4 linked regions of the Rhinolophus ferrumequinum genome follow. The protein of the gene in region 1 interacts with the protein of each later gene in a pairwise test. Links are inferred from orthologs where the notes say so. Each region holds a gene or a part of one and is shown in the gene's direction. Other genes may lie near its edges.

Region 1 (7,900 bases):
TAGTTTACTGGGTATGTAATTCTTCTTTCCTTTGAAAATCATGATTTTTCAAGCAAGTATAGCAAAACTACAACCCATAAACATCTAGCTATGACAGTATAAACCACCTTTACAGCCCGCATGTACGGAGAGTTCTCCCAGTAAAAGCACTTCCTGGTAAGGAACACAACACAGAAGCTTGGCTGACTTGTGCCGGCCCAAGTTCCGGCTCCTACAGCTGACAGAGGAGCCCTCACAGCCTTCCCATTTCCCTAGCCTGTGTCCTCCTCTCTATCAGGGTGACAGCTGGGGCATCCCAACTGTCAGGCTGGCCCTTGGACTAAGAAGGAGGGCTAGTGGCTTGGTAGGACCTAGAATCCGGTTTATGTCCATCCACATGGTTTGTGAGGCACCTTTCACAAAGCCCATTCTTGGGGCCACCAAAGCTAATGGACAGTGGGGTGATATTCCCTGGTGGGCTCTGGAGGGCAAGATGCAGACTGTCCACCTCTCGGTTCCCCCATTCTGCGTCCAGGTCGATGGTCTCTCAGCGAATGCTGTGCCAAGGTTTTTGGCAGGGCTGGGCGTGGGGGTGCAAGTAGGCTTAAGAGAACCTAGTCCAGGGATTCTGCTCTGGGCTTTGGTCCTCCCGTCAGGGCTCCGGGGAAGGCATCTGGGCCCTTCCCACCCAGGCGCCCAGCAGTCACTGAACCCCTGGACATGACCGTGGGCCCCCGGCCAGCTGTGTGGACACAGCCCGGGAGTCTGGCACTGTGCTGACTCCACCCGGTGAGCTGTTAGCAAGTTCTCAGCAGACGTGCGGGTGCTCACTGATGCTTTTTATAGCAGCTCCAGAAGATATCGCAGCTTGAGAACAGAAATGAAAATATGTATCCTTCAGGTGCCAATCTACTGTACTTACAGTTTTACTATTTCTCTGCAGGGGGCCCATTAATCCTGCAACAGTGAAATTCCTAAGGAAATTAGTTCCCTCCGGTTGGGGTTACCCTCAACTGGTCTTTGGGGGCAGAGTGATTGGAATTTAAGAGTCTCTTAAAAGAAAGGAAACGTTGGCCACTTTACCTGAGTAACACACTTTCCAGTACAAATGCTTCGTCGTCCATTAAAGCTGGCTCACTCCTTCCCTGTGTGTCTCAGCTCCTGGGGTGGGGTTTACAAAGACCCCGCCAGCTGGGGGTTCAGTTCCAAGTGCTCCTCCACTGGCTGTCACTCCTTTCCTCTCTGGGTTATATGTGCCCACCTGGAACTCAGCACTGTGCCCTGCCTGCCGTGGAGGACACCACCTGGCTGGGCAAAGGAATGAGCCAGGCGTCATCAGAAGGGCACGGCTGCAGTATTTCCCTGCCTTTGCAGGAGCAGTAAGTGTTAGCTGTCATTACCCGGGGAAAACACACACACACACACACACACATTCCTTTAGAATGGGGCAGTTTGGACATAGGCTGGCATTCCTTTGCGACCTGCAGCTTTGTCTGCAGTTTCGCTCTGTCAGGCCAGGCTTCAGCCCCGAGGACCTAGAGCCCCAGTTTCCTGGTCCCCATGCTCCCGGCCCCTGAAGTGCCATACAGCACCCTGGGGAAACCTAATTGTCCTATCCTTCTCAGGGCTGTGCTGCTGTCCTAGGAAAACTGTTCCTGGTGCCAGACCAAGAGCGGCCTGGGGACCCAGGAGAGGCCCCTGCCCAGAGGGTACTTAAGATGAAGTGTCACTGGGTTCCAAAGGGGTTCCCCACCTCCTTCACTGCTCCAAATTGGAAATAAGATGTGGCTAAACGATGCTTACATATGGAGTCAGCAGAATGTCGGTGCCTGGGATGAACCCACACTGGGGACACAGGCCCAAATCAGCCCCTGGATCTTGGATTCCAGTGGTTTTGAGCTTTCAAGCACTAATAGGGGCACCAGGAAAAGCCAAGTCCAGAGTGTAACAGAAGGAACAGGCCAACCCCATTTAATATGACAATGACAAGTTTTCTCCTCTGGGCCTGAACAAGAGAAAGAGGACTGGGCCCTCCAACACTGGAGCCGCATGTGGGACAGGGTGGCGGTGGCAGTGAGAAGAGCTTGAAGCCCAACGGGAGGGCCCTGGGGTGAGGCCTGACAGTCACTCGCTGGCCCTTCCCGGCTGTGGGCCTGGCCGGTTTCCTTAGCTGTAAAGGGGGGTAGGCACTGAGGTGTTTACAGCTGAAGGTAGCACAGAATGCTAAATGCAGGCACGTGTGTGCAGCTGCTTTGGAAGGCTGAAAACCACCACATACCTGTGTATACACCTATGGACTTGGAACTCAGGAGCCACAGCTCCCGACATGCGGCGTGGGCTCAAAGCCGAATGGAGTAGTCTTGGTTGCCTACGTGAGAGCATTTTCAAGCTCAGGCGTCATCTGCTGATGTCAGGCCTGTTGATACCAACAGTGATAACTGCAGAAAGGGCAGGGGGCAGGACTGGGAATGTCTGGGAATGTTCCTAACTTTTGTTTTGAAGTAGGGAGTGTGCTCTGTAGCTGGTGTATGCTGCTTTCGGCAAATTCCATTTAAAGGAAAAATCAGGATTTTTAAAACAGCCACATTAGAAGGCTGCTTACTGTTTTGCTTTGTTTTTTAAAAAAGATCCATATACCACATTTCCCTGGTGCATTACAATTTCATTATTTTTTAAATTACAAGGCCAGTTCCACTCTTTGAAAAAAATGCCCATGACACTCAGAAGCCTATAATAATGTAAAGCATGAAGGTCCTCCCTTTAAAACTCCCCTATTTTCACTCTCTGCAGGCAAGCTCTCCTACCACTTTGGGGACATCCTTCTGAAGGTCTCTTCCTATGCTACATTCAGCCGTGTATAGTTATATATTTGTTTACATGTAATTCTGTTAAAGATGGTTATTGGAGCCTAATCCTGTTTTGCAACATGCTGTTTTCCCCCCATTGAATTTTTCCTCCATAGTAATCTCTAGGTTTCCTTTACTAAAAAGAAAAAAAGAAAAAAAAAAGAGCAACTAACCTTTTTATTTTAAAATAATGTGGAGTCATATGCAGGTATCAGAAATGATACAAAGAGACCTGTGTACATTTTCTCAAAAGATAACATCGTGCAAAACTGTAGTAGTGCCACACCCAGGATACTGGTATCCATATAACCAACCCATTCTTTTCAATTTCCCAGTTTCACTTGTACTTGTTTGTATATATTTTGTTCTATGCAATGTTATCGCATGTTTGAGTATCTACCACCACAGTCAGGAACAAACAGTTCCTCATTGCTCTCCTGTTGCATTTCAAACACTGTAATTTACAATTGTCAGTAACACCTATTCTCAGGGTGAGGCACACGTGTAATGGGCTCCTAACCGGTCACTGTCAATGACCAGAACAGCGCTGCCAAGGGAAAACCTAGGGTGAGCCGCAAATGAAAGTCACTACATAACTAAATTTCTAGCAACCCCATTAAAAATATAAAAAGATGTAAATTAAATTTAATAACATATCTCACAAAACCCAATATATCCCAAATGTTATCATTTCAACATGCAATCAATTAAAAATTACTAATGAGATAGATTACCTTTTTTTGGTACTACTAAATCTTTGAAACTCCGTGAGCCCACTTTTCCAGTAGCTGCGCGTGGCGAGCGCGCACTGAGCACGACTCTGCCCGGCTCCAATGCAGACACTGGGGTACGCACATTCCTGCCTGTCTCCATAACTGAGCTGGTGGAGGAGACAAGCACAGTTCCAATCCAGTGAGATGTGCACGTGGGAGAAGCGGCACGGTGCCCTGAACACGAGGGAAGGCTCCATCGGGCCTGCCCTCAAAGCCTGTCCAGAACCCCAGGGCTGTCCAGGAGGAGCCCCTCCTGTCTGGGTGGGAGCACGAATTTTCAGTGACATGGGAGCTACAACAGGAGCGGCGCTTTGGAGAAAAGGCCAGGTGTGGTGTGGGGTCCTCCAAGAGGAGACAGCCCTCCCCAAAGCAGATGGTGACTGGGCTCTGGGGGCGGAGGGACTTGCCGTGGAGATGGAGGGCATGGACGTGACTCAGGCCGGAGAGTGTGTGCGGGGCATGACAAGTGTGGGAGGACACCACCTGGAGAGTCAACATTAGGGGGATCCACAGGGAACCAGGGAGGGGCTGGAGGTTAGAGAGTATGCGGACCTGGAGGCCCGAGTGAGGGAGGGGCAGGGGTCCTGGAGCTGGGCCGTGGTGCCAGGCGATGCTGCTCCGAGGTGGGGGGCATCGCGGGGGCACAGGTGGCGGGACACGCGGTGGCTCGGGTTCGGGTCCTTCAGGTCCGAATTCAAAGGTCTTTGTCAGTGTTGAGGTTCCGAGATGGCGCAACCTCTCTTTCCCTGACCTCCCATCCATCCTCACCTTGGTGTAATTTCATTTTAGGTTCGATTTTTGTTAAGTGCAAACCTGACTTCTCTTACACTCACATCACACGCACACCCTTCTCCCAGCTGCTGTGGGAGATGCAGGGAAGGTACGGAGCAGAAAGACCCGCAGGCAGACTCCTGGCCGTTGGGAGCCGGGAAGCTCAGGAGCAGTGCGCAAGCTCAAGCGGCCGGAAGCATGTCCCCAGGTGTCCTCGTCTTGGCTGGTGCTGGCGCAGGCGCAGGCGCAGGCGCAGGCCCGGGGCGGGGCGGACCCGGGGGCGGGGCTTTCGCGCACAGCGTCAGAGGCCCCGCCCCCCGGGCCGCCGGCGCTCGATTGCTCTTGTCTGGCGGCGGCAGCATGGCGGCGGGAGCGGCCGAGACGGCGGCGGTGGCCGTGGAGGTCGGCTCAGCCCAGCAGTTTGAGGAGCTTCTGCGCCTCAAAGCCAGGTGAGCGGGGCGGCGGGCGGCAGGGGTGAGGGGCACGGCGGAGGCCGGCCTCGCGGGACGGCGCGGCCCGGCCTGGGCGGAGCGGCCGGCGCGGCTCCCGGGCCCTGGCTCCTCACCGCGGCGGAGGAGCGGGGTCCGGCCGCACACCCCCGGCGCGGCCCCTTCCCGCGGTGTGAGCGGCGAGCGGCAGAGGAAGGCCGGGCGGGGCCGGGGAGGCTGCCCGGCTGCAGGGGGCGTCTGGAGCGCGGTGTGCGCCGCTGGCAGCGCTCACACTTAAAGCCTCCCGGCGGCCGCAGCCTGAATTTCCTGTTTGCTGAGCTGGCCTGCTGGGGTCCTCCAGCCCTGGGAAGACGCCCCGACGACGGCGCAGGGGTGCGCAGTCCGCCTTTGGGGACCAACGGGCCCCGTCGTGCTCACCGCACCTCACTCTGCCGGGTCCTCCCTCCCGGGACGCCTGTTCTCAGCGTGTCCCTGGTGGTGCGGTGGGAGCTCCCGCGCCCACTGCCCGGGAGCCAGTGCCCTGCTCAGCCTCTTGGTGGCCGTGTAACCCCGGGCAGGTGTCATAACCGGGCCTCAGTGTCCGCAGCGGTGAAATGGGTCAGAACAGCGCCCACCCCAAGGTTGGGAGCACCGAGTCGGATGCTGCGCGTACCGCACCGCACCGCACCGCCTCGCGTGCACGAGCAGTCAGCCTTAGCTCTCGGCATTTTCTGGATGGAGCGGAGGGCATGGAGCTGGCACGCAGCAAATGCTTACGGACCTAAATGCGGTAGAATTTTGCTGAGGAATGTGAATTAGAGACAGGTGCTACTCTGGGCGAGTAGCTCAGGTAGCGTGTGCAGGTCAGACGGGGGACGTACTGCCTTCGTGGAAAATGGGAAGGGTGCGAGTAGCCTTTCATGGTCCTTGGCCTTTCATGCTTTACGAAGGGGATGGAGTTAAAAGTGTTAACCACAACAGCTCTTTTGGCGTTTCAGGGTTACCTGGAAAATTGTTTGTTTAAAAAGGAGAGGGGATGACGTTTACTCATTGATGAAAAGTGGGTTCTGATTCAGCCAACACTCCACACATCTTAAAATAGCGCAATTATGAAGTCACCAGAGGTGGCCTCCTAAAATGAGCAGGGCTTGTGTGGACCTGCCCTCAGTAAATGAACTTGCTACCATCTGGAAGACCATTTTGCTTTTTGTGTATTTCATTTTTTGAAATATTAAGGTCCTTAAGATATCACTATCAGGAAAAGTTTAAATGGAAGTACATTTGGGTGTATTCTTGTCACTGGTCTGTACTTGAAGTGACTCCAAAAGCAGTGCACCTTTTCCATAGTGAGAGTTTCATTGGGCACATGGGAAATGACGCCTGCTATGTGGGCAAGGAACAAATCTCTGCAGCTTTTTGTGAAAATCGAAGCATTTAAGAATTATTAAATAGCATTCGTTAATGTAATAATTTAAAGTCTACTTCCCAAATCTTCACTTCTCAGTTTTAAAATTTCATATGAACTGAAAATTTTTCTTTGCTTAACTCAATCACATGTTTTACATGTTAATGAAACCTCAGGTGGTCTGTACAGTGGGGATATTAATATCCATTTGCAGAGTAATTAAGGTTTTGCCTATTTGTAAAATGTTTAATAGAGTCTAGCATGTGCTAGTGTTTAAGAAGTGGTAGCTTGTGTTATCTGCAGATGAATAACTGCAGGAGCAGAACACCTGTAATAATAGAAACAGCCATTAATGAGCACTAATGATTTTACTGATGAAGAACCCAGGTTCATTGCATTGTCTAAAATCCCATCAATCAGGATTTCTCTAAAGGTTTTCCTTAAACAGTGCACCCTGCATTTTGGGCTATCCGTGAAGATGGAGACAGTGCTGTTCCCTGTAAGCCGAGAGAGGATGATAAATAGCACTTATGTTTGTTTCAGGTTTATGTCCTTACGATATAAGGCACCATGTACTGAACTGGAAAGTGGAAGCTACACATCTAGATATGAGAATATTGCAGATGATTTACAAGAACAGTGAACATTAATGTCATTCTTCAGTGTTTTCAAAGTGCTTTATAGTTTTGTTTGATCTTCCCAACATCCCAGGATTTTGGTTATTGCTGTTTCACAGAGGTGGAATTAAAAGCCACATTAGTAGTAATGAAATTTAAGTTGTATGTGTGTGCTTTTTTATTTTCTTTTTTGCATGTCATTTCATATTGTTAAAAAGTTTGGTAATCTATTTTAATTTTTAAAATACATGTAATCATATTGTGAGGATTTTCCCATGTCATTAAAAAAATCTTCAACATACGATTTTTTTCATGGCTTTATAATATTTTATATGACTTAAAAAAACTTGTTGAACAATACATTTTTGCAGTTATTTGCTATGGAAAATAATAGGAAAGCATTCAGTCACATAAACCTTTGTCTCTAATACTTTCTTTGGATACTTGAAAGTGGGAAGTTTCTGACAGGTTCCAATTTAATTTTAACCAGCAGGATATGAAAGTGCTTGTCTCACTCTGTCTTTCTTGTCATTGAATATTATTTTAAAAATATTTTTTCGATCCAGTAAAAAGTGGTATCCTAACTTTTAAAAGATTGAGGTATTAACTTACATACTATAATAAAATGTACAGATCTTAATTGTTAGATGTGATGAATTTTGACAATTGTATGCACACAAATGACCATCATTCAAAACAAGGATAGAGAGCCCCAGAAAGTTCTTTAGCCCCTTTCCAGGACTCCCCAGCACCGATCTGCTTTCTGTCACTGTAAACTCGGTTTGCCTGTTCTTGGACTTAATGTAAATGGAGTCACACAGCTCCTGGTCTTCTTTGTCGTTTTACTCAGTGTATTTTCGAGACTCATCCATGTTGTTGCAAGTAGCCATAGTTGGATTCTTTTTATTCCACTGTATGAACATACAACAGTTTCTCTAGGATTTGCCCATTGTGTCCGAAGCTGCTATGAACATTCTTGCACAGATCCTTTGGGGACCGTTTTCCTTTTCGCCATCCCTTAGGCTTTGGGGCGCCCCTTCATTCTCTCAGAGGCTCTGAGTGATGAGACTGGAGTGGGCAG
Region 2 (7,575 bases), on another chromosome or scaffold:
GTCTTGTGCTCATGTTTCCTCCTGACTTCCCAAGGCTCTTGTTAGGCTTTTGAGGGTCAGCCAAGGAACAGACAAGTGAGCGAATAATCCTCAGGAAAAGAAGGACCATTCTGCTCTGAACACTCTTCCCTTTTTTATAGACAAACAGGTAATAATCAGTTCTTTATGGGAAGATATTTGACTCTGTTTATGAGAGATGTACAAAGGTGGAAATGAGAGATGATTCCCGGTGTTCAAGGAAGGCTGCAGATGTCATTACAAACCCCCAAGATAATGGTGTTTTCAAGACCTCTTAGAACTAGGAAGTTATCAGGGCTATTTTGAGGAGGGCTCAGTCTTCAGAACAATCATGCAGTTGGACAGAAATCTAAAATCTCCAAAAATTCCTACCTTTAACCTTACCCCAGGAAAAACTGATCTATGAAAATTACATGTGTGATTATGAAAGATGTCGTTGAGTGAGAGGAGTTGAGGAATCGGGAGAATAGTGAGCTCTCACCCTAACTCTGTAAGAAGCATGATCTCAGTAGACCAATAATTCGCCTTTTTATACATCTGTAAATAAATGGAATGTTTTTAAGAATATAATTATGTCAGATTTAGCCTTTTCTTTTGTATATTAAATATATATCTTTCCTTTTCTGCTTTTGAAAAATGACTATTTTTTTAGAAACCTAAGAACAGAAGAAGTTTGGCGAGTGGAAGGCAGAATGTATAAACTTGAAATAAATAAATCTGTTATAATAATTAAAGCAGAACTTGGTGTTGGGAGGTTTGTGCTGAGTTGGAGTAGAGAATCATAATGCCCTGAGATATCAGAGAGAGGTGCCACTGAAGTTGTTTTATCATAGGAATTCCTTACTGTTTTCAGTTGCCAATATGCCATTTGAGGAAGGTTTTTGGTGTTCTAATCCTTGAAACATGTTTTACGTGGAGACTTCAAAATTTTGTACAACTTGACGGCAAGAGTATGTCTCAAGAAATTGTTCTACAATGAAGAAAGGCTAGCCACATAGTACCAATGTGTGCAAGGTAATATACCCGTTACCCTGAGTAACAAGACATAAACAGTCTTAGCAGGTAAGGACAATAGATGTTCTTAAAGCAAATATATGTTAACTAGTATCACAATTTACAAAAACATTTTATTAAAGGAGTCCTTTAGATTGAACTACTCTAAGGTCACAGATCAAGTCCAGTTACATAAACTTCATACAAATTACTTTGTGTAATTTTATAATAAATGCAGGTATCCCCCCAGAATTATGGATGAACTACGTGAAGGTAGGCCTTTCAGTAACACGTTTGAAAATGTTTTGAACACAAAAGAAAAGCAGAGAATCCATACTCATATATAATTTTGGGCAGGGTTTAGTAGTATATTTTTCCCCCCTAAGTATACTGGTTGACATATTCAAATAGAACGGGATCTGGTGAATTGAGAGGTAAATGCACTTTGAAGACAGGTCTAAAAAAATGGTGATAATCCTTGTTCTTCCCAGAAGATTAAAAAAAAGAAAAAAGAAATGCACAAAGTAGGCACATTTTCAGGTACTTTTATAGAGAATGATTGATAACCAAGAATCAATACATTTCTTGCACAAAATTGATTTTGAAGAAAGTGCTTGTAAGGGCATCAATGCTTCATGTATTATCTCTAATGAAATGTTACATGAACATGAATGGCTGGATGCAGAGAAAATTAAACCTAAGGAATGCATATAACAGACTCACTGCCATTTGGAGAAGAAAGATCAATCTGCATTTTTGAAATTTAGAGGGAAATAATTTGATGTGTACTACTTTTGAACTGAGGTATGATTGTACTATATTAAATTTGAACTTCTCTACAGATGCCTAAGTGTTGAATAATAGTGATGGAGGTGTGTGTGGAATGGGAGGTAGCTAAACAATCGGACGAGCTGGGACTTTTGAGACAAATCTGAGCTTTACTAAATTCTCTATTGTAAACTCTGCTGTTAGAAGACACTTTGTTAAATAGGAAAGCAGTCTTGGAAGCATTGTTTTGCGATACCCTGTTTCCAACTGCAAGCATTGGTCTCAGCTGTCCTACAGTGCCTTGCATGTAAAGGTGCTCAATAAATATTTGAATTGATGAGCAAACATGTTTAGCTTGTTAGTTTTCCAGGATCTTACAATCACATATATTGGCATGTTAAGTCTAGGGTGAATTTCCAAATCTGGTCTAATGATCATAGTGCAAAACAGACAAGTGTATATATATACCTCTTTTCCTAGATATCTAGTATTTTTGAGTGACAACCATGTATATATGTTTAGGAAATATACAAGCAGAACAGAAAGTGAAATAGCATATTGATGGTGAAATACTGATACAAGGATCACCTGCATTTTGGAGGGTGGGATGGCAAGTATTTAATTTGTAGAAAAGGGAATGAGGCTTCTGTTCACACTGGACCTGGGACTTGTTTTTTGAGGAATTAATTCGTGAAACTTGGGGAAACTTGGAAACAGCCTACAGCCTATTCCCATGCTGACACTTCAGAGGCTGCCTAATACCTAGACAATAAAGGTTGGACTCAGTTGTGAAGAATTAAAAATAAATGTGGTTTTAGCCCTAGACTGGAAATATCCAGACTTAAGAATTCTTATCTCATTACACTGTTCTCAGTTGCTCTTCACCTAAATCATCTTAGACAAAGCAGAAACTTGAATTTGCCTTTGCAGCTTCAGCTTCAGATGAGAGTAATTTGGGGAACATTTTCTCTAAGGGGACAAACTAGTATAGTGCTGGACAGGAAATGACCAATGACACTTTGTAAACCCATTTACCTGGCCAGGAGTGAGAAAACCACTAGTGGACACAAACAATCTGGAGCGAATTAGGGACAACTCCAAGATGGAGATGGCAGTTTCTGGGAATGCTGCACACGGGTAAGGACACCAGGTGGCACCATTTATTAGTGTTATGTTGGCTCCTACCCCTATTGAGATAAAAATCACAAACTAGCAAGTTGAAAGAGCCAACCCCCTATATCATACTGTGGTGCCTAATGGCTCTTGCCTCCTTCGTCCACATTTGGGAAATATGAAAATTCCACTTTTCGTTACATCTGCAGTGCATGGTTGAAGGAAAGGGGATACCTCATGCCACTGATAGCTATTGCTAGTCTTATATTTTTTGCTCCAAAAGACGTACTAGAGCTGATCGTCTGGCTAGGTCTTATTTTCGGGGAAACACGGTACAATACACACAAGCACAAAGCTGTTTGCCACTTGGCTGTACAAGACATGCACAGCAATGGGTTTAGGGGTCCTTCCCTCTTGCTAACATCCCCCAGGGGTTCCAAGGATCTAGGTAGGGTGAGACAGTTACATCGCTGTACTATTTCTCTGGGCCGCAGTGTTTTGGCTTAGGCTAACCTTTTCATAAGGTAATTTCTTGAAGTAGCGAAGAGGCAGAAAATCAGGCTTAGAAAATAAATTCTTAGGCTGTGACACCTGTGAAATAATACTGTAAACGCGCCCCCAACCCCCGTAAGCTAGAAAAACTATACCACTAAATCTAGTATCAGCAAGCTTGACAGTGACCTCGCTAAAATAGTACTAGGGAAAAGGTTTCACGAGTAAATTTTGACAGGAACAGGAAAAGATCTGGAGCAACAAAGTCCTGTTTAACTGGGTGAGAGAGCGCGGTGGGACATAAGAGACTAAAGAAACCAGGAAACAAATTGTCCCGTAGGCACATTCACTTGTCTTTGCTCTCCCCGATACGCCTAAAGCTCTATTCAAGGCAATCATCTCCCTCCCCTTCATTCCATCATGGCCAATCAGGTTGCCCAGTTAATAACACTTAGCAATCGAAAAAGTTACGCCAGAGAGTCATTTATACGTAGGTTAACGCGCTGCCGAACAACTATTCTAACCGCTTTAAGTCCCAGCACTTGGGGTCGATGGGAGCAGAGACTTATGGCTGTGTCTCAATCTTGTAATTCTGAGCTAGGAGTTAGTTTCAGCTCTGGTCCCTCGGGCCTATCAAATGCCAACTGTGGCACCCTGGGGGCGTGGTACTATCCTTGGGGCCCCGGGGAATGCAGTACTCTGGGGGGCCAGGTCTCATAATACCATAAAAGGCTTGGTTCTTTCAATTCTGAAGCCATGTTCTGTAGATCTTCCTTTAAGAGCGATACCCGCGACTACGTTGTGAGGAATCCGTGGTTTTCGAGTCCCAGGTCCTCAGCTTCCTAGGCGCTTCATTGGCTCCGCCCCCACAGACGTTATTCGTCCACTCTGGGAACGCCCTCCTCGCCTCGGCCCCGCCTACCCAGCCCGTAACTTGGCCCAGGCGGTAGTTCGCGTTTTGAGCCGCTGGTGCCACCATAGCTGCTGCTGCTGCTGTTGCTGCTGCGACTGTGGAGCTGAAATCGCCGAGCGCGATGCCTGAGGGCGCTGTGAGCGGCTCGGCCCTCGGGCCCCGGGGCTGGTGAGGCTGGGTCCGAACGGGGGCGCTGGCGAGTAGCAGGGGCTTCTGAGGGAGGTGAAAAAGAAAGGTGCAGGGCCCCTGTGGGGGGCCGACAGGGAGCTCCAGAGGGTCGTGGGTGGGGGAGGGAGGCTCCCGAGGCAGAGCGGGTTGCGGGGCCACAGCGAGCCCCGTCACGCCGAGTGTCCTCGCGGCCTCCAGCGCAGGTGCCCAGGCCCCCGGAGGGACTCGTCGGTGGCCTCCTTCCTTGGACATTGCAGTTGCCATGGGAGCACTTTGAAATTAACGGTGACCAGACCAGCCATTAGCCCTACTAGATCCCATCCATCCCTCCAGTTTAAACGCCTCTGGCCGGCATGGGCCTGTCATTTCTTTGCAGCTCAGAGTTTTTACCCCCCTTTTCACGGGTCTGTCCTTCAAACGTTGAAAGGAACCGCACAGGGCTTGAAGGTGGGGACGAGGAGAGGGGAAAGGGCAATACCTAGAGATAAGAGCTGCAGACACTGCTAGGCAGAAAGTAAGGTGGCCTCTACCATCCATCTCAGGTCAGTGAGAGGGCATACTGGAAGACCCTTTGGCGTGGAAAGGCAGTGCTGCTGTTGAGACAAGTCCCAAGATTGGGCCAGGTACTGTCATGGCTGTGGAAGGGTCAACCATTACCAGCCGCATCAAGAACCTGCTGCGATCCCCATCCATCAAATTACGCAGGAGTAAGGCAGGAAATCGCCGAGAGGACCTCAGCTCCAAGGTGAGTCCTGGTATGGGGAGCCACTTCTTTCCAATCCTCCCTTCCTCTGCTCCATGTTCCTCTTCTTCCTCTTTCTTGGGAAAGAGGAGTTCTAGAGGCTCCTGTTGGCTCCAAAGGATCAAGTGTGCCTATCTCTGCCTCTCGAGAAAGCAATGATGTCCTTTTAGGTTGAATGAAAAAGAGCAGCAGGGGTGGACATGCTAAGATTTATTCATGAAAAGAGGAACAGGAGAAAGGCAACCTGGATTCAATTGTGGCCTCATGACAAGCTAAGTCTGTGTTTGGGGAAGCTAGTCAATATGCTATGACTCAGTTTCCCTTCCTGGAAGAGGGTAATGGGACCACATGTTTTGTGAAGGACTAAGCTGTGACTAATGTAGCTGCAAGTGTTAGTGTCACAGCGAGGTTATGTAAGACAGTAGTAGCAGAAAGAAATACACTCAAACACTTAGTCTGAGAAATTGGCTTGGCAAATGCTCTTGCCTAGGGTCAAACAAATTTATTTGTCTCTTCAAGAGACGTAAATTAATTTAACTGGAGCTTCTTGGCTTCGTAGGAATGATAACATGCAAGGAGCTAAATACTTGCCTCAAAACAGTTTTCCGGGTTTGCCCTGAACGTTGCGTATCTCATTCTCTATGTGCTAAGAGTCACATCACACCAAGTTGCAGAAGTTCCTCGGAGGCCAAATCCCATTCCATCCCCTCAAGCTGTCTGGGTGTTGGTTTCTTCAACTTTGTTTTCTTCAACTTTGTTTCGCCCAGCATCTTTGGGAATACAAAAGTAGACTAAATTTATTTAATCCCTGAGGGAATCTAGGTCTTTGTTTTCCACAGGATCACGTTAGACTTTTGTGCGTTATTAGCAGCCAGAAAGCACAGTAGCCTTGCGTGGTACAGGATTGCTGTAGGGAGAGGCATTTGAGACAGCAGCATTTGATTGCCTTGCCTGTATCTCTTCAGAGATGAGTTAAGCCAATAAGGAATGACTCAGATGCTAATGTACAACATGGCCGGGTTCTGGAAGGACTTAATTCAGATGCCTGTCCCTTAGCAGAACTTTACTTGGATTTGGTCATAAGGTGAACAACTTTCCTGTATGTTTCATCAGAGGGCATATTAAATCGAAATCAGCCACGAGGATCCGTGGCAGTGGACATAGTGACTTTTCCAAGGACTCCTATTAATTAATCATTGCTCGTATTCTTCAGAGGCAAAAGAATGAGCCTGAAACTCAGAAATGTTCTTAGGTTTGACTCTGTTCACTCATTTGTCGTGTTGGGTCATTCTTAGTACGGCAAGCACTGGTATCCTTGACTGGTGACGTGGCAATGGCTATCACTACGTATTAGAGCAATCTTCTCATAGCTATGGCTTCTTTTTCCGACCCAGAATAGTATAGGTAGTATAAATGTATGATGGGAGTTTAGTCTTCAGTGCTAATCCTTAATGTAATTTTGGTCTGGGATTCAGAAGGTATGGCCACCATTCTTTAAAATTTCCCATGTCATTCATCATTAATTCATTCAACAAATGTTTATTGTGTGCCTATTATGTGTGGAGTCAGGGATGAATAAAACTATCTTTGCCATCAAGGAGCTTGTGGCTGGTCAAGCTTGTAGACAAATAATTACATGATGTGGTAAGTGCTGTCCTAGAAGTATGCAAAAGGTGTTAAAGGCAGCACAGGGGAGGGAACCCAAATCAGCTTTAGGGAATTAGGAAAGACTGCACGGAGGAAGGGATGCTTGAACTGTGAGTCCTGAGGCAAGAGGACAAGAGAGGAAGCTCTCCAGGAAAACAGTGAAAAAAGGCATCCCAGGCATCACCATTAAACAACCGTGTTTCAAATAGGAATTCAGTGCTTCAGATTCTTTAAATGGCTTTGTGTGTCCCAGAGCTGTGAATGAAGGAAATACTTAGCTAAAGTTGAATGACCCTTGAATAGTTTGACAGAGCAAGAGTACTGGTGCATATCTTTAGCACCCAAAAGTAGTAGCTGTCTTTGTGTGCCTAGGACCCTACAGATTCCTGCTTTTCCACACTCCTTCCTGAAGACTCTCTACCTAAGATGATTCTAAAAGCCTGCCTTACGGTAACCCACATAGGACTTGGTGTATAAGGCTTTGTCAGCTGCTCTAATATGTGGTGGCTGTAGGTAATCGTGGTAACTGTCAGAGAGCTTGTGATTCATGGACAACTAACTCTGAAATAAAATTTTAAGGCCAAAAGATCTATGCCTTTTGGGGGGGCAGGAGGGGCAAAGAAGAAGTGACAGAGGGCTTTTATGCAGCTCTTAACCTCAGATGGCCTGCTGCTTTGAATCATACTGTTCCTTCTGTCTAAAGTAGCCTTTTTACCAAATT
Region 3 (7,749 bases), on another chromosome or scaffold:
CTCCCCTGTTTGGGACAGGGCAGAGACCTGTTTCAGTCTCTCCGGTCGAGGACCTGTTTCAGTCCTCCCCTATTGGAGGTGGCCAAACCTCCTTCCGCGGTTCCCTATGTAAACCTCGGTATCGGGAGTTGTCTGTTCCCCTGAGGGGGGGCATCCCGGACGAGCCCCCAAATGTTAAGATCCGGAATTGTCCCCCTCAGACAGACAGAGAACCCGCACAATAATGCAAGTCGCACAGCGAGGTTTATTACCAGCCGGCTGGGGTCCCCGTCTCTGCCCGACGCAGCGGGTTTTTAACAAGGACCCCAAACACTTAAAGCCAAGGGGTTATATAGCATTTTCAAGGCCTTCCATAGCTTCTGAGAGTACAAGATAAACTTACAGGACTTACATAGTTTCAAAGAGTATAAGATTTACTACAGGACAAGGAGACCAGGACTATAAGATAAGCTACAGGACTTGCATAGCTTCAAAGAGTATAAGATTTACTGCAGGACAAGGAGACCAGGAGTATAAGATAAGCTACAGGACTTCTAGTCGCCATGCTGCAACTGCCCACATCCTGGAATTTTATAATTATGTTGTTTCAGGCTAGGGGCTGTTAACCCTGACCTGAAGATAGCAGTTCTCATGCTAACAGTCTCTTACATGCTAACAGTCTCTTACATCATCAACTTATAGAAGCCATGAGAGTGGATGAAACTGCCTACAAAGAGTATAAAGAGGGATATGGGCAGAAGGCAGGAGAGTTGCCAACACAAACCCATTTCTTCCCATCCTGTGCATCCACTTCAGTTCTAAATGGCTGATGGCGTAGTGGGCTAAATGGTGGTCCCCGTACACATATGTCCATATCCTAACCTCTAGAACCAGTAAATGTGAACTTATTTGGATAAAGGGTCTTTGCAGATGTAATTAAGCTAAAGATCTTGAGAAGAAATCATTCTGGGCCCTAAATCCAATGACGACTATTCCTAAAGGAGACACCCAGTGGAGAGACAGGGATGACAGGAGAAGGCCATGTGAAGTTGGAGGCAGAGATTGGAGTGATGCAGCCACAAGCCAAGGAATGCCTGGAGCCACAAGAAGCTACCCTGTTTCCCCAAAAATAAGACCTAGCCGGACCATCAGTTCTAATGCATCTTTTGGAGCAAAAATTAACATAAGACTCGGTCTTATATTACATAATATAAGACCGAGTCTTATAGTATAATAAAACCGGGTCTTATGTTAATTTTTGCTCCAAAGGATGCTTAGAGCTGATGGTCCGGCTAGGTCTTATTTTCGGGGAAACACAGTAGAAGAAACCCTAGAAGCTTCCAAAGAAGTAGGGCCCTGCCAACCCCTGATTTCAGATTTGTAGCCTCCAGAACTGTGAGAGAAAAAAATCTGTTGTTCTAAGCCACCCAATTTGTGGTAACTTGTCACAGTAGTCCTAGGAAACTAATACAGATGGTGAGGTGGGCCAGAACTACAGGTCAGCCTCAAGGCCCCAGAAGGGCTTTGCTCTGTCTTTGCTTCCAATCCATGGCTGGGGAGTAGAGGTTTTGTTTTGTTTTGTTCTTTCTGCCCTGCAACCCTGGGATAAAAACAGACACTAATGACCAAACACTTGACCTTAAGACTGTGTACCAGGTGGGGAGGGTGCCCAAGTCAGTCACTTCTGAGTACACCCTGTCCCAGAAGCTCAGGGAACAAGAAAGACTCTGGGAGCTCAAACCTGTTTGGGGGTTTGGCAGACTCCCAGCTGCAAAGGTGTGATGCAGGGTCAGAGTCCATATTCCCCACCCAGACCAGAGATATAGTCACACACAGAGACAGAGAGCTCAAGAGCACCATACAGAACAGCATTTGGAAAATTAGAAAGCTGTAACAAAGAGAGATCTGTACCTAGACAGAGATCTGGACTCTGACATACTGAGAGAAGCATCAGAGAGGGCGGGGAGATGTGTGGACATACAGAGTGCCGTAGAGATGTGTACAAAGGGGTCCTGACAGAGACCTACTAGGGAAAAAGAAACAGTCAGAACATTTGGAAAGAGGGAAATGAAATAAAGCTGGGACTGGTGTTGGAAAAAGATGTCCTGACATACAGACTCCAGTTACTATGGTGCTTCTGTCCCCTGCGCTCCCCATGAAGTCTTCCACCTCAACTAGAAGTTACCACATTCCATCTTGTCCAGGTCCATCCAATTTAGATATTACTATGGACCTTTCATGTGTCAGGGTCCAGCCAGGGTGCTGACCACACAGCTGCCCAAGACAATGAGCTGACCATCCAGAGTACACACTGCATCAGATTGCCATGCATGAACGGCTCTTAATTTGGCTCCAGAAATGGCACCTTAGACTGTAGGCTAATTACCTCGTAAAGTGACTGCTTGGAGACAGCTGTTGTTCAGCCATACGAGTTTTGGTGTACAGTATGGCAGTCACTCTGACGAGGCAGATAATTTGGGATGCCATACAAACATGATGTCATGTTCCTGCAACAGTTGTGGTTTGACACACACACTGGTCATTGACAGTGAGCTCCCTGGGGGCAGGGTCGTCATCTTAATCAATTTGGTTTTTCTCAAACCCAGGCAAGGTGATCTGCAGAGAAAATACTCAATAATGGTTGTTGAATAAAAGAGTGACTCAATCAATCAAAATATTGAACTCTGCCCTTATGGAACTCAAAGCTATTAGAGCAGATAAAATGTCATAAATCATCCTAATATGAATTAGATGGTGGACAAAGTTATTAACAAGGGCAGCAAAAGCACTGTGGTGGCTGAGGCACCAGAAATCTCTTCCGGTGGTGCAATTAGTCAAGAAAGACTTCCTGGAAGTCTTGAGTAATAGAAGGGTTTTAGATAGGGGAGATAGTAAAACTATATAAATATATATATATTTTAGTAAAACTAACATGGTAGTGGGTGCACTATCAGAGTGGAAGCTGGTTGAGGCATCTGGGTGGGTCTTGGGATCCCTCCTGTGCCGGCCATTATCTCTTTAGATAAGAGATCATGAGGCTGTCAGGAGAGGTCCCAGAAGCACCCTGGAGGAAGGGGCTAGTTACCAACAAAATTAGAAATATTTCAATATATTTAATTAATCTATATAACCATACAGGTGTGTACCTACTGAACATCAGTTCCAGGTATGAACCTCCTGAGATGGCCTTACTCTCTTTGCTGGTTTGTTGAAGCCATAGGGACCTTCTTAGAATGTGAGTTACAGAACAGTGGAGGCTGTTCTCCAGTCCAGTGCTGCATCCCCCTAGAGCCTAGAACAGAACCTGGAGGATTGGAGGAGGCTCAATAAATGTTTGTTAAATGAACAGGCAGAGAGTGGGAACCCCAAGCCCATTCTTGGGGTCCTCATACTCTTCGTCTCCTTTCACCCACTCTCCCCCTACAATCCATGCTCTATACACAGCCCTCCACCTCCCAGTCCTAATATGAGAATTGGATTCTGTCATTCTCCTGTTCAAAATATTTGATGCCTCCCCTTTGCCCAGAATACCATTCTTTCCATTGTTTTTACCAATTAAACTGCTGCTTCTTCACAACCCTGAGCAAATTTGCTTACTTCTGTATTACCTTCTGAGGCAGAATTCATCTCTTGCTGCTAAATCTTATGATAGTGTTTGCCCTCACTCCCTAAACAGTGAGCTCCTCAGGACAAGGGCTGTCATTCATTCCTGCACTTTTAGCCCAGTGCCTGACATATAGTAAATGCTAAATAAATATTTGTTGACTATAAGGGTGATTGGCATTCCTGGGAGCAAGAACTAGATGACAAAGGTGGTCAAAGGTTTGGGGGGGAAAATGAATAGTTTAATCTGGCCTTAGTATGAAGAGCAGTAAGAAATAAGATGGAAAGTTCTCTTGGGTAAGATTTTGAAGGGGCATAGAAGTCAGCTAGCAGGAGAAGATAGGCACATGGAAGATTCTTTGGTAGGCAATGGGAAGCCAATGAAGGTTTTTGAGCAGAGGTTTAATATGATGAAAAATAAATGTAGTTTAAACCCATCAGAATCCTTCTCATACATATACTGTTTTCCATTCATACTCAAATTCACCTCCTACTACCCATTCATCCACCCCCTCACCCACAGGCTTCTGTAGCAGCTTGCCCTACCCCTTTACCTGCTTCCTAGCTGGGCAGGGAATACACATGTGCTACTCCCCTCTCAGCCAGAGGATGTGGGGGCCCCAGCTCCCTGTCTTTTTCTGTCCCTGCCTGGGGCTGGGAAGCAGGCCAGGGTTAGCTCAGGCTGGCTGGCAGGCAACCGGGTGGTGCCAGGGAAAGCCTGTGCTGCCATGTGGTGCCTTGGGTTCCAAGCTGAGCCCATGACCCCAATAACCTTGTGCCTGCACACATACCTGCATTCACTCCACCCCCAATCTAGCCTTTGGTATCAAGGAGGGGGCACAGCGCCAGAAAGACCTGAGGAACTTTGGCTTCATTTCTAGAAAAGGGCACTCTGAGTCAGGCTGCTCCCCTCCAGGCTTGTTCCTCCCCCACCCAGCTCCTGTTTCCAATGCACGTACAGCCCGTACACACTGTACAGCCTGTACACACCGACCCGGGACATCCTACAGTCAGCCACATGGCTCTCCTGTGCCCCAGTCCCTGGCTCCCTCTGTTGATCCCAACCCCTGCCTCGGGACCTACTGTGCAACTGCTGCTGTTACTGCTGCTCCTGGTACCTACCCAACCCCAGAGTCTACCCAGGATGCAGAGGACTCCCTCCATGGGAGGAGATTTGTCTGGGGAAGATGATCCACTGGGCAAGGAGGACCTGTCCAGTGAAGAGGATCCACCTGGAGAGGAGGACCCACCTGGAATGAAGACAGAATCAGCAGAAGACGACTCTCTGAAATTAGAGGATCTACCTACTGTTGAGACTCCCAGGGACACTGAAGTCCCCCAGAATAATCACAGGAACAACAAAGGTAAGTCATCATCAGCCCTCAAAATCTAGGCTCCAGGAGGTTTGTGCCTCTCCTCATTAAACCCCATCCCAGGCAAGGATTATTCAGGGAAGTAGAGGAGCCTGTACTCTGACAGTAGCCTTTCCCAACCCCAGGGGCTCCCATGCCACTAGATCCTTCACCTCTTTCAGAGCTAGAAGGGGGACAGATGGGGAGAGAAAAATGGGACACAGATGGAGAGAAGTGAGTAGGAAGAGATGGGAAAGAAGAAAGGAGAAGGTTGGAGAGGAGATAGACATGAGGAATGTGGAAAGAGAAAACACAGAGAGAAGAGTATGAGACAAGAGAAAAGATGGGGGTACCAGAGGAAGAGCCGGAAGGGCTTGTAGAGATGACCTCATCTTCAGTACACAGGTGAGGAAACTGAGGCACAGGAAGAAGGAAACAGCAGGTAGGGGGACCCGGTATCATGACTCCCAAGCTACGAACTTTGGGAAAAGAGTTGGAGGCCAGAAAGGGAAGAGGGATGAGTGGGGGAGAAAGGATGGTCTACTGATTTGGGCTTTGAGACTGAGACCCCCACCCACTTTACTAAGACAGTGGTTGCAACTGGTATCTGCAGGGCCAGTAGGATCTTTGTGTGGCTCACCATGCTGTGGTGTCAAATTTGGCTGCACTCTATTGTGCTTTACACATGGCCCACTTTAGGCATTTATTACCTGCTGTGCCCCTCCCTGTAAGGCACCTGCGTTTGCGCAGCGCTGTTAGTGAGGGGGGCCCACATGGATCTGGCCCCAGCGAGGGGCTGGGCTCAAAAATCAGCCTCCTTATCCTTCTCTTTTATGCAGGGGGTGACCACAGTCATTGGCGCTATGGAGGTGAGACACCCACCACCTGCACAGACCTATTTTGGACACCCAGCTCTGACCTGCCCCACAACCATCCCTGAACTCAGGTCCTGGGCGTCCCACCCACTGCATCCACATCTGCCAGGCCCCCAAAACGCCCGCTACCTGTCTCTGTCCACATCCCTGATTTCTACTTCCCGCTCCAATGTCTTCTGACTCCACCCCACACTTTTTCTACCGCTCGTCCCTCAAAGTTCCTGATCTTATCACCAAACTTCCTGTCCATACTCTTCCACCACAGGAGGCCCACCCTGGCCCCAGATGTCCCCAGCCTGCGCTGGCCGCTTCCAGTCCCCGGTAGATATCCGCCCAGAGCACACCGTATTCTTCCCCGCCCTGCGACCCCTGCAACTCTTTGGCTTTGAGCTCCCGTCACGCCCCAAACTGCACCTGCGCAACAACGGCCACACGGGTGAGGCAGTCCCGGAACCTCAGGGAGGGGCGGAGGCTATCTGGGAATGGGACAGGGCCTAGGGAAGAGGGACGGCCTGGGCGGTGCTTGGAGGTTAGGCTGGCTCTCAGGGGCGGGGCAGCGTCTGATTCACCTGCGCTCCCCACGCAGTGCAGCTGACTCTGCCTCCGGGAATGGAGATGGCCCTGGGTCCTGGGCGGGAGTACCGGGCGCTGCAGTTGCATTTGCACTGGGGGGCTGCTGGTCGCCCGGGCTCGGAGCACACGGTTGGTGGCCAACATTACCCTGCCGAGGTGAGCGCTCAGTTGTCGGCGGAGGGACGAAATGAATCGTGGGCAAGATCCCCAGAAATGGGGCGCGGGCAGGGGATCTTGCCCACGCCTACCTGCCTGTCCTCTCCAGATCCACGTGGTTCACCTTAGTACTGCATTTGCCAAAGTTGACGACGCCTTGGGGCGCCCAGGGGGCCTGGCCGTGTTGGCTGCCTTTCTGCAGGTACCAGCCTCGACAGCCCTCCACTCCCTGCTTCCCCGTGCGTCTGGGCTCAGTATATCTTGCCCTCAGAGGCCCCATCCCAGCACTCACCCAGGCACCTGGCTATCATCCTCATTCTCTCGTTAGTTTATTCATTCAACAGCCGCTGGATTACAAAAAGGATTCAGAAACCGTGGGTCCTTGTCTCTAAGGAGTCCACAGCCAGTGAGGGAAGCTGACAGGGTAGACACATACAAATGACACAGAGTAAAAGAGGTGGTCATGGAAGGCTTCTCAGAGGAAGTGAAACTTAAAGCTTTCACTAATGGGAAATAAAAGGGGATATTCTGTGCGGAGCAAATGGTATGTGCAAAGACTCAAAGAATATGGCTCATTCAGGGAACGGCAGATGCAATAAAATGGACATCAGGAAGAGTAATTTCTCTGCTGCTCCTATAACCCACAATTTCCCCTTTGTGAAATGCAAGAAAGTCTAGAGAAACATCTAGTGACCTCTTTGGACCTGTAATGATCAAGGCTACAAACACAGTGATTAGAGGAGGCCAGTAAAATGGAGGGATGGTGAGACACCTGCTACCTTCACTCTTGCCCTTACTCCTTAATACTACTAGCCTTAGAACACAAAGTTCAGAGAAGTGCCTTGGAAATCACATATTCTTGCTCCAAAAATCAACATATGAATTATTAAGGTGAATGCAGAGGTAACACGAATACAAAGGTTATTACAGTTTTCGGGGGTAAAGCACGGAGTGTATGTGAAGTGTAAAGATAGCATTGAGTGAGTAGGGCCCAGGTCAGGAGGGCCTTGTACCCTAGTAAAGTGTCCACCTTCCTCCTCCTCCTCCAATCTGCCACTGAAAACTAGCCCACCAAGCTTCTTAGGTTAGTTTGCACAGTAAGAGTAAGTCGACTTTGAGTAATAATACATAAGATTTTGTGTGTTCCCAGCATGCTCAGAGCTAAGGAATGAGGAAGGGCTGTGGGAACCCCACCTCACCTTCAGGTCTCC
Region 4 (8,023 bases), on another chromosome or scaffold:
TAATGCAGATAAACTAACTGATTGAACTGGTAATTTGAATATATTCCAGTAGACTCCTGAATTAAAATAATTTTCATCAAATCAGGTTTGTTGGTTTCTTTTTTTACACCAAATTCATTGAGCTGTCCCCTAAGATCATTCATTCATTTGTATTTATTGTTCCCTGTCATGTGTCCAAGAAGTTCTATGCTCTTGAAAAGAAAAAAGGAAAGTGTGTAGCTAGTGTGTGATTGGGCTGCTTAATGGGACCAGCACTTTGGGAGGTCCTGCGCACTAGGGGCAGGTTGTGATTCTTGGGATCAGATATGGCTCAGGTGCTTCACCAGGGGCATCTACTCAGTGTGAAACCAAGGGAACGGACTTGAGAAGGTATGGCCCAACTGGGAAGCTTCACAGGGAAAATGAAGATAGGAGGGCAACAGCATAGAAAAAAGAATAAAATATATAGCTACAAGGGCACACTTGTGGAAATTACATTCAATTGCTACATCCTCATTTGAGGTTCACTTATTCATTCAACAAATATTTGTTTTTTGAATGTACTATGGAAGATTCTAGACATGCCAATTTGAATGGCACAGCTTCTGTCTTTTTTTTTATTTTTAAGATTTTATTGGGGAAGGGGAACAGGACTTTATTGGGGAACAGTGTGTACTTCCAGGACTTTTTTCCAAGTCTTAGTTGTGGAGGGTGCCATTCAGCTTCAAGTTGTCCTTTCAGTCTTAGTTGTGGAGGGTGCAGCTCAGCTCCAGGTCCAGTTGCCATTGCTAGTTGTAGGGGGCGCAGCCCCCCATCCCTGTGGGAGTCGAACCGGCAACCTTGTGGTTGAGAGGACATGCCCCAACCAACTAAGCCATCTGGGAGCTCAGCAGCTCAGCTCAAGGTGCCGTGTTCAATCTTAGTTCCACCATCCCTTGCGGGACTGGAGGAGATGAACCGGCAGCCTTGTGGTTGAGAGCCCACTGGCCCATGTGGGAATCGAACCGGCAGCCTTCAGAGTTAGGAGCATGGAGCTCCAACTGCCTGAGCCACCGGGCCGGCCCCAGTTTCTGTCTTTATGCTTACTTAAAGGCAATTACAATAGAGTAGGACAGTGCTTTGATGAAGAAAGTACTAGGTGCTGTGTGGTACCCAGATTTGAGGGTATCTGGAAGGTTTTCCTGGAGGGAGTGATGTTTAGGCTTAGCTCTTCACTGAAAGAATGGGGGTAGGGGCAAGAGTGGAGGAGAAGACTGTTCGAAACAGAAAATAGCATATTCAGAGGTGTACAGGCAAGAGAGAGTCATTTGAAGAACTGCCTACCAGTGGTTCCGTGTGGCCAGAACATAGAATTTGAATGATGGGGTTGGTAGAGGTGAGAAGTGGAAAAACTTGTGGCTAAAGAAGGAATGGCTTGGGTCCTGAAAGGCCTTTCTGGCTAGATTCACATATTTGACTTATCCTAAAGGTGATGGGAAACTAAAGTTTTTAAGCAGAGGATGACAGGATCAGGTATCTGTTCTAGAAAAAATCACCCTGTGATGTGAGCACACATCGGGAGGCTATTACACTAAATAATCCAAGTAAATGATTAAGTGGTTTGAACTAGGGTGATGAAGCTGGGGATTCGAGAGAAGTAGACAGATTGAGGACATGGTCAGGATTAACTGGGGGAAGAGAATGGAGAGGAAGAGCTCTCAAAATTAGACAACTCAGAGGTATCGAATTGGAGAACTGAAGATGGGCAGAGGAAATACAGAACTAGGAGGAAAATAATTTATTCAGTTTTGAACTGTAGAATTTGAGGTGCCTATGGGAAACTCAATGGGATGATGGCTCTGGATAGCTCAGAAGAAAGTCCATGTGGTAACTGCAGCGTGGGATGATTGAGATGGCTGGTTAAGGGACAGCCAATGGAAACGAAGCCCTCAAAGAAAGCAGTTGCCAGAAAAGTGGAAAATCAGAAGGCTCTTTTCAGCTAAAGACTTAAGTAGTTGTACTGCATTTCTCTATCATGTGCGAGGTACTATTCTAAGTGCTGGTGATAGGGCAGTGAACAGAACAAAATCCCTGATCCTACACAGTTTATGTAGGTGGAGGAAAGACAAGAGTGTGTGTATGTGTATAAAATTCAGGCACTATGTAGACAAATAAGGCAGAATATGGAGATACAGAATGATTGTGGAGGGGGGAGAGGCTATTTTGGATGGGAGGCTTAGGAACTCTTTTAAGAGTTGACATTTGAGCAGAGACCTGAATCAAATGCAGGAATTAGTCATTGTAACATCCTGGGGAAGAGCATTCCAGGCAGAACAAATGGCAAATACCTGAGGTGAAAGATCCCGAGCCTGGTAGGTTCAAAGTATGGTGAGAAGGTCAGTTTGGATGAAGGACAGCGATTGAGGGAGAATGATAGAGATGAAGTAGGAGAGGGTGGCGGGGGTAGCTCCTGTTGGGTCCGGAAGGCCATGACAGAGTTTGGATTTTATTCTACATGTAATGGGAAGCCATTGAAAGGTTGACAGCAGGGGAGTGACATGATCTGAATTACTTTTTACAGTAATTGGCTGCTATGTGAAGAATCATTTATTGGGTGACCACAGAGGAAAAAGGGAGATCAGTCAGGAGGTTAGGGCAGTCGTCCAACAGAGGATGGTGGCTTGGACTAGACTAGGGTGGTAGTAGTGAGAAGTGGTTTGGTTCAAATACTGAAACAAGAGCTGAAAAGATTTGCTGAATGATTGGCTATAGGGGTGTGAGGGAAAGAGTAAAATCAAGGCAGATTCTTAGGTTTGTATTTTAAGAACTGGGAAAACAGGAGCAGGGTTTTTTGGGGGGAGGTGAAAATAATTAAGAGTTCAGTGTAAAACATGTTAAATTGGAGATGTGTGTTACGTAGACATTCCAAGAGAAACTGCTGAATAGACCTTCACATACAGGCCATGAGTGAGTACTAGATTTCTACTGACATAAGTATGTCTTTTTAAAATATTTATCTCAGGTTAATAAAATTAAGGGTCAGGTTTTAGCTTCAGATTGGCAGATTATGACCTCTAGCATATATGCCTATTATATTCATTCTCAACAGGGTTTTATCCCCAAACGGGTGAAAAGTGATTGTTAATGGGTCAAAAAATGTAGATAATAACAATGGTGTGTGGCCTTCAAAGCGCAACCTCACCTGACAAAAATCTTATTCCTTAGTATTTAATTTCTCTCATTAGGAAGAATTTAAATTTAATTAATTTGAAATTTTCCCTTTTTGGGGGGGTGATAATGGAAAAAAAACAGTTGAGAAAACTTTCTCAGAAAAAAGATTATTATAGGAACTACAATAAACTGGGTAGGGATCTAATCAAGAGGGAAAATGACAGACTTAAAAGCTTGTTGAAGGAAAAAAATAAACTAACTGGACGAGGGGCCTGATAAATACTGGGGTGGGAATGTAAATAAAGAGTGGAGTCTAAGGCAATTCTTCAGAGATTTGACACCCAAGGCAAAGCCACCACTAAAAGTTTAGTTGACAGTTGAAAAATGCATCTGAGGAAGATTATTCTGGCATCTCATTTATATTACACCAGAGGAAGGGAGCTTTTATTAATTGTGGTGGACTTGGAATCTGAAGATCGAGGTGTACGAAATGTTGAAAGGGAAATTAATTATGGTCACCCTCTATTTTGAAATATGCAGCCAGTACAATTGTTTTGGAACAATATTCAGTGGCACGGGAAAACACTTAATAAAATGTAAGCATACTACAAAACAATATGAAGCCATTTTTGTCAAACGTTGTGAATCTGGGTAGGAAAGAGATAAAATTACCTCTGAGGTGGGATTTTTTTTTTTCTTTCAGTTTTTATATAGAGAACTTGTATTGGTTTTATAACCAGAAAAAAATTTTTTTCCCCCGAAAGAACCTTTCTGGCTTGGCACTGGTTTGGCCCTGGCCAGCAACGAACTCCCAGATTTCCGAGGACCCACATTCTAGCACTATCCCAGCCCCTCGGAGGGTGTGGCCTTGGAGGTATGAGACCCAGGAAAAGGCGGCCAGCGGTGAGGCTCCCCCTGCCTCCGGGCAAGCGTAGCGTCTGGACCGCAGGACAAGCCAAGGGATCCCGCGGCAGAAGTGGCCACACGCCGGGAAGCGCACAGAGCCAAAACCCTCCCTGCTTATTACACACCCTGTGTGGGCACAGGATATGGCAGGACGCTGGCCTCAGGGACCGCCGGGACCGCGGAGACCCAGGAGGGCGGGAGGCCGAAGTGCCCCTCCAGCTTCCATTCCTAACTGCAGCCCCCAAGTAGCCGGCAGGGAACCGCGCCAGCCCGCGCACCAGCGGAGCCTTGGGTGACTGACAGGAGGTGGGAGCGCAGGCGGAGCCTCACGCGCGAGCTGTGATTGGAACAACCAACACCTCCCGGGGAGAGAGAGGATGAGCCAGTGAGGGATGTTCAGAGGCGGGTGCTCAGATTCCTCTACGTGATTGGCTAGCAGCGGAGAGAACTGGGCGCTATTTCGATGATTGGCAGTCGGTAGATAGCTCTCGGAAACTGCCTTGGCTTCGCCTATTGGCATCCTGCGAGAGTAGGCGGGATTGGTTCATCGTGTGGTGCTGATGATTAGCTGGCGGCTGAGAGGGTGTTGGGAAGAGAGCGTTGGAGGGGGTGGTGGTGGGGGGGCAGCGACTTCCTCCTTGTTATTGGCTGGTGAAGTGAGTGGGGGTGGTACGATGGTGCAGCACATGCTTTGGATTGGCGAACGCTGGGTTGAGTGACAGGCAAGGGGGCGAGCTGCGCGACCAGCGGTTTGTTTTTCGGAGCGTTCTTGAGGTGGAGAACGGTGGCCGGACGGAACGACTGAGGGACTGAGGGACTGGCTGGCGGGCGGGCCGAGCGGCGCCGCCGAGGCCGGGCTGGGCCGAGCAGAGGAGCGCCGGGGATGTAGCGGGCCACCCTGCCCATGCCACAGCGCCCGGCCGCGGGCGGAGCCGGAGCCGGAGCCTGGGGAGGCGGCGGGGGCCCCGAGGGCAGCCCGCGCCCCCCGCGCGGAGCCAGGCCCGCTGCCGTCCCCGCCGCCCGGGCCCCCGGCATGCAGCCCGGGCTGCGGAGGTGACACTCGGGCCCGAGCCGCCGCCGCCGCCATCGCCACCATGGGTGAGTGTCGCCACCGCCCCGGCCTGTGCCCGCGCTACTTCGCGTCGCCCCGCCCCGGGCTGAGGGGAGGAGGACCCTGGGCCGCCGCCTGACAGGCATGGACAGCCCGCCGGGCCGGGGTTGCGGACCGCCGGAGCCCGCCCGCCCGGCTCGTAGCTCCACGGTCCGGGCGGGGGTTCTGGCTCCCCGGCCCGCTGGGGCGGTCCCGGCAGGCGGAACCCACTCGGCAGCCTCCTTCCGGGCCGCGCAGCGGGTGCATCCCGAGGAAGCGGTGGCGGGATCGAGGGCCGGTGCTCGGCGGGTCAGCCCGCTCCGGCCGCAGCGAGCCGGACCGCGAGCCCGAGGGCGGGGGAGCGAGAGCGCAGTGTGGGGCCCCGGCTGGAGGCTGGTGCAGGCCCAGCTGCTGTTGTGTCTTTTCCTTGATTTGCTTTTTTTTCCTGCCTGTGTCATTTCCTTCCCTTTGCTCACACAGGCCAGCCTGTGAGTTCCCGGGGCTTGCTCTCGAGCCTTGTGCGCGCCCCAGCGCAGGGGGGAGGGCGTGCGAGGAGATAGTCTGGGAGGTGATTAAAACGGCTATCGCTGTAATAAACAGCGCGGTTGAGAAATGCGAGCTGCACGCAGATTGCTGGAGGTTAGAAATTGGTCGGGGACTGCCAGTTATAATTCACATCCCTACTTTTTGAGAAATCCGGTTGCAGTATTTTGCATCCATTATTTTTATCTTGCAGAAGCCCTGAAATTATGTAACTTTTGAGAGAAGCATTTGCTCCACAAAAGAATGTCTATGAAATCATTTCCTTTTTATCAATATTTGCAATTTCTGTTGTGAAGACGTAATCTAAGAAAAGCTTTTAATGTCTTTCACACGTAACATTTGAACTGAATTATAGTTCATGTCCTTTGGGTAACTTAGCAAATGACTGTTGGACTGCATTAAGAAGCAAATAAAATTTTAGATGTGCTTTGCATCTCTTGTTGGGTCAGTTATTGTGATAATGTGGTGCGCAATCTCAAGACTTGCAAAGTATTCGTCCTAAATACTTGATTATGTCCTAAATAATCAAGGGGTAAACTTCAGTGAAAGGATCCTTTGCAGAGCCATTCATTGAATCTGTGAAGTGCCCCATGTAAAGAGGGAACGTTAATGTTTGCTTTGCCCTATAGCAAGGTCAAGTCATTTTTGTAGGAGGTTAAGTGTATGCTGTGTCACATTAAGCATATACTCTTTTGTCGCCTATCTTTACATGCTGGCTTTGAATGAATTGCCTTGTTCTATTCCAGGCTTCCCCTCATATGGTAAGGGATGGGTTTGTTCACTTGTTGGACTTACTGTTCCCTTCCCATGCTCTACTTCAGAAATGCTTACATTCCCAGGGAAAGTCTCCTGTGACAGTAAGCAGAAAAGGAATCCAGTAAGGCCTGGTATTTAAATACATAATTCAACACATACTTATTGAACATTTACTGTAAATGGGGCACGTAATACTTCTTATCCTTCTTAGGCTTCAAACATTTATCTTGTGTTTTGGAATTTGATGATTGAACTAAATCTTTTAATTTAACCTATATTTATGATAGTGTTTCTAATAATAAGTCTTTCCTTTTTGTCCTGTGGGGCTCGTCTTAAGTCCCAAAAGGGAGTGTGAAATACTTGAGGAGGTGCAGAGCTCCCACTCCCCACTTTCTGGACTGCTAAACCAGTTAAGAGTGCCCAGATGTGTTGGCTACATTTCATTGTCTAACATGAAAATAGATGTCAGCCTGTTTTCACATTTCAAGACATTTTCAAAAAGTTTAAGTGTGTGAGTCTAAGGAGGGACAATGATGGGGAGAAAAGGAGCTGTGTAGGTAGGGTCCAGAGCCCCAGAGAAAAAAGGACCAGGATCTCAGTGTCTTCTCTTTTGTCCCAGTGTCAGTTTCACTTGATGGAGGAATTAACTTGCCTGGTGGCTGCAGTATATTAGGCAATCTGGTTTAAAAACCACTGCCTGGCTTTCTTCAGCACTTCCCCCACCCCGGATACTATTCTCTCTCTTTTTGGTAGATGACCTTGACATGCAGAATACTAAATTCTCCCAGAACCTGGCTCTTGAATATGCTTTGTATAGGGCTCAGTGAGGATATATGTGCACGCGCGCACACACACGCACACACACGCACACACAGTCTCTCTTAAATAATAGTTTCCATTTTGGTAATATTGATGATGAAAATTCAAATTCCCAGGCTGGTTAGTTTGTTTTAGTTGCTATAGTTCTAAGTAAACTCAAGGGGTTGATAAGAGAGAAACACAGACTTACTAATATTTTCATTCCACTTGTTAAACTCCAGTCCAGTGAGGAAAAGACTAAAACTAATTTGAGTCCCTGCAGGTTCTTTGGTTAACAGTCATATTTTCCTGAGCCGTTCTAAGCCCCAAACTCAAGCCTATTTGACAACTTGGGTTGGTAATAAAAACATGTCAGATTTTATATTGGCTGTTAGCCCCAGTAAATTTCTAGTGGAAACTACACTTACCCTGTAAATAATAGGAAATATTCTCTTTTTTTTGGCTTTGATACTATGTGGTTATTTTAAAAAAATGGGATTGGTCATTTTTTTTTGGTTATGCTAGAATTCTCTCTTAGTTTTAGCAATTATAGTGGCAAATACTGTTAATAATGTCTAAGATTAATTCACTAGTGTTTATTTGGACTTTTTATAAATGCAATATGAAACTTAGTGGGAAGTATTATTGAAAAATATGTAACAACTTGGAAATGTTATAGGAAACTATAGTAAACTGAGTATAGGATTAAGGATGGTGTGGTTCTGGTTTGATAACTTGGTTTGAAGTCACATTGTGATTTATAGACACCTTTCCAGGTTGTTGGGAGTTCCCAGTTAGTCT

Evidence for each region. The genes of interacting proteins can lie anywhere in the genome.
Region 2: the proteins of GLRX3 (region 1) and MAPKBP1 interact in binary tests that used the Homo sapiens proteins (3 or more experiments, as listed by UniProt). The two-hybrid records come from large-scale screens. The link is inferred for Rhinolophus ferrumequinum from reciprocal best matches to the Homo sapiens genes GLRX3 and MAPKBP1.
Region 3: the proteins of GLRX3 (region 1) and CA9 interact in binary tests that used the Homo sapiens proteins (3 or more experiments, as listed by UniProt). The two-hybrid records come from large-scale screens. The link is inferred for Rhinolophus ferrumequinum from reciprocal best matches to the Homo sapiens genes GLRX3 and CA9.
Region 4: the proteins of GLRX3 (region 1) and MAP3K3 interact in a two-hybrid assay, tested with the Homo sapiens proteins (2 studies listed by BioGRID and IntAct). The link is inferred for Rhinolophus ferrumequinum from reciprocal best matches to the Homo sapiens genes GLRX3 and MAP3K3.

What each region holds. Positions count from the first base shown.
Region 1 is NC_046299.1:2,007,180-2,015,079, reverse strand, and holds the start of GLRX3 (glutaredoxin-3), read left to right. Parts: upstream 1-4,667; 5' UTR 4,668-4,729; coding exon 4,730-4,818; intron 4,819-7,900. UniProt on the Homo sapiens protein: Together with BOLA2, acts as a cytosolic iron-sulfur (Fe-S) cluster assembly factor that facilitates [2Fe-2S] cluster insertion into a subset of cytosolic proteins.
Region 2 is NC_046289.1:63,620,184-63,627,758, reverse strand, and holds the start of MAPKBP1 (mitogen-activated protein kinase-binding protein 1), read left to right. Parts: upstream 1-4,340; 5' UTR 4,341-4,465; intron 4,466-5,007; 5' UTR 5,008-5,096; coding exon 5,097-5,210; intron 5,211-7,575. UniProt on the Homo sapiens protein: Negative regulator of NOD2 function. It down-regulates NOD2-induced processes such as activation of NF-kappa-B signaling, IL8 secretion and antibacterial response. Involved in JNK signaling pathway.
Region 3 is NC_046295.1:51,859,722-51,867,470, forward strand, and holds the start of CA9 (carbonic anhydrase 9), read left to right. Parts: upstream 1-4,514; 5' UTR 4,515-4,531; coding exon 4,532-4,946; intron 4,947-5,773; coding exon 5,774-5,803; intron 5,804-6,074; coding exon 6,075-6,245; intron 6,246-6,395; coding exon 6,396-6,538; intron 6,539-6,647; coding exon 6,648-6,740; intron 6,741-7,749. UniProt on the Homo sapiens protein: Catalyzes the interconversion between carbon dioxide and water and the dissociated ions of carbonic acid (i.e. bicarbonate and hydrogen ions).
Region 4 is NC_046304.1:42,259,714-42,267,736, forward strand, and holds the start of MAP3K3 (mitogen-activated protein kinase kinase kinase 3), read left to right. Parts: upstream 1-4,788; 5' UTR 4,789-5,129; coding exon 5,130-5,133; intron 5,134-8,023. UniProt on the Homo sapiens protein: Component of a protein kinase signal transduction cascade. Mediates activation of the NF-kappa-B, AP1 and DDIT3 transcriptional regulators.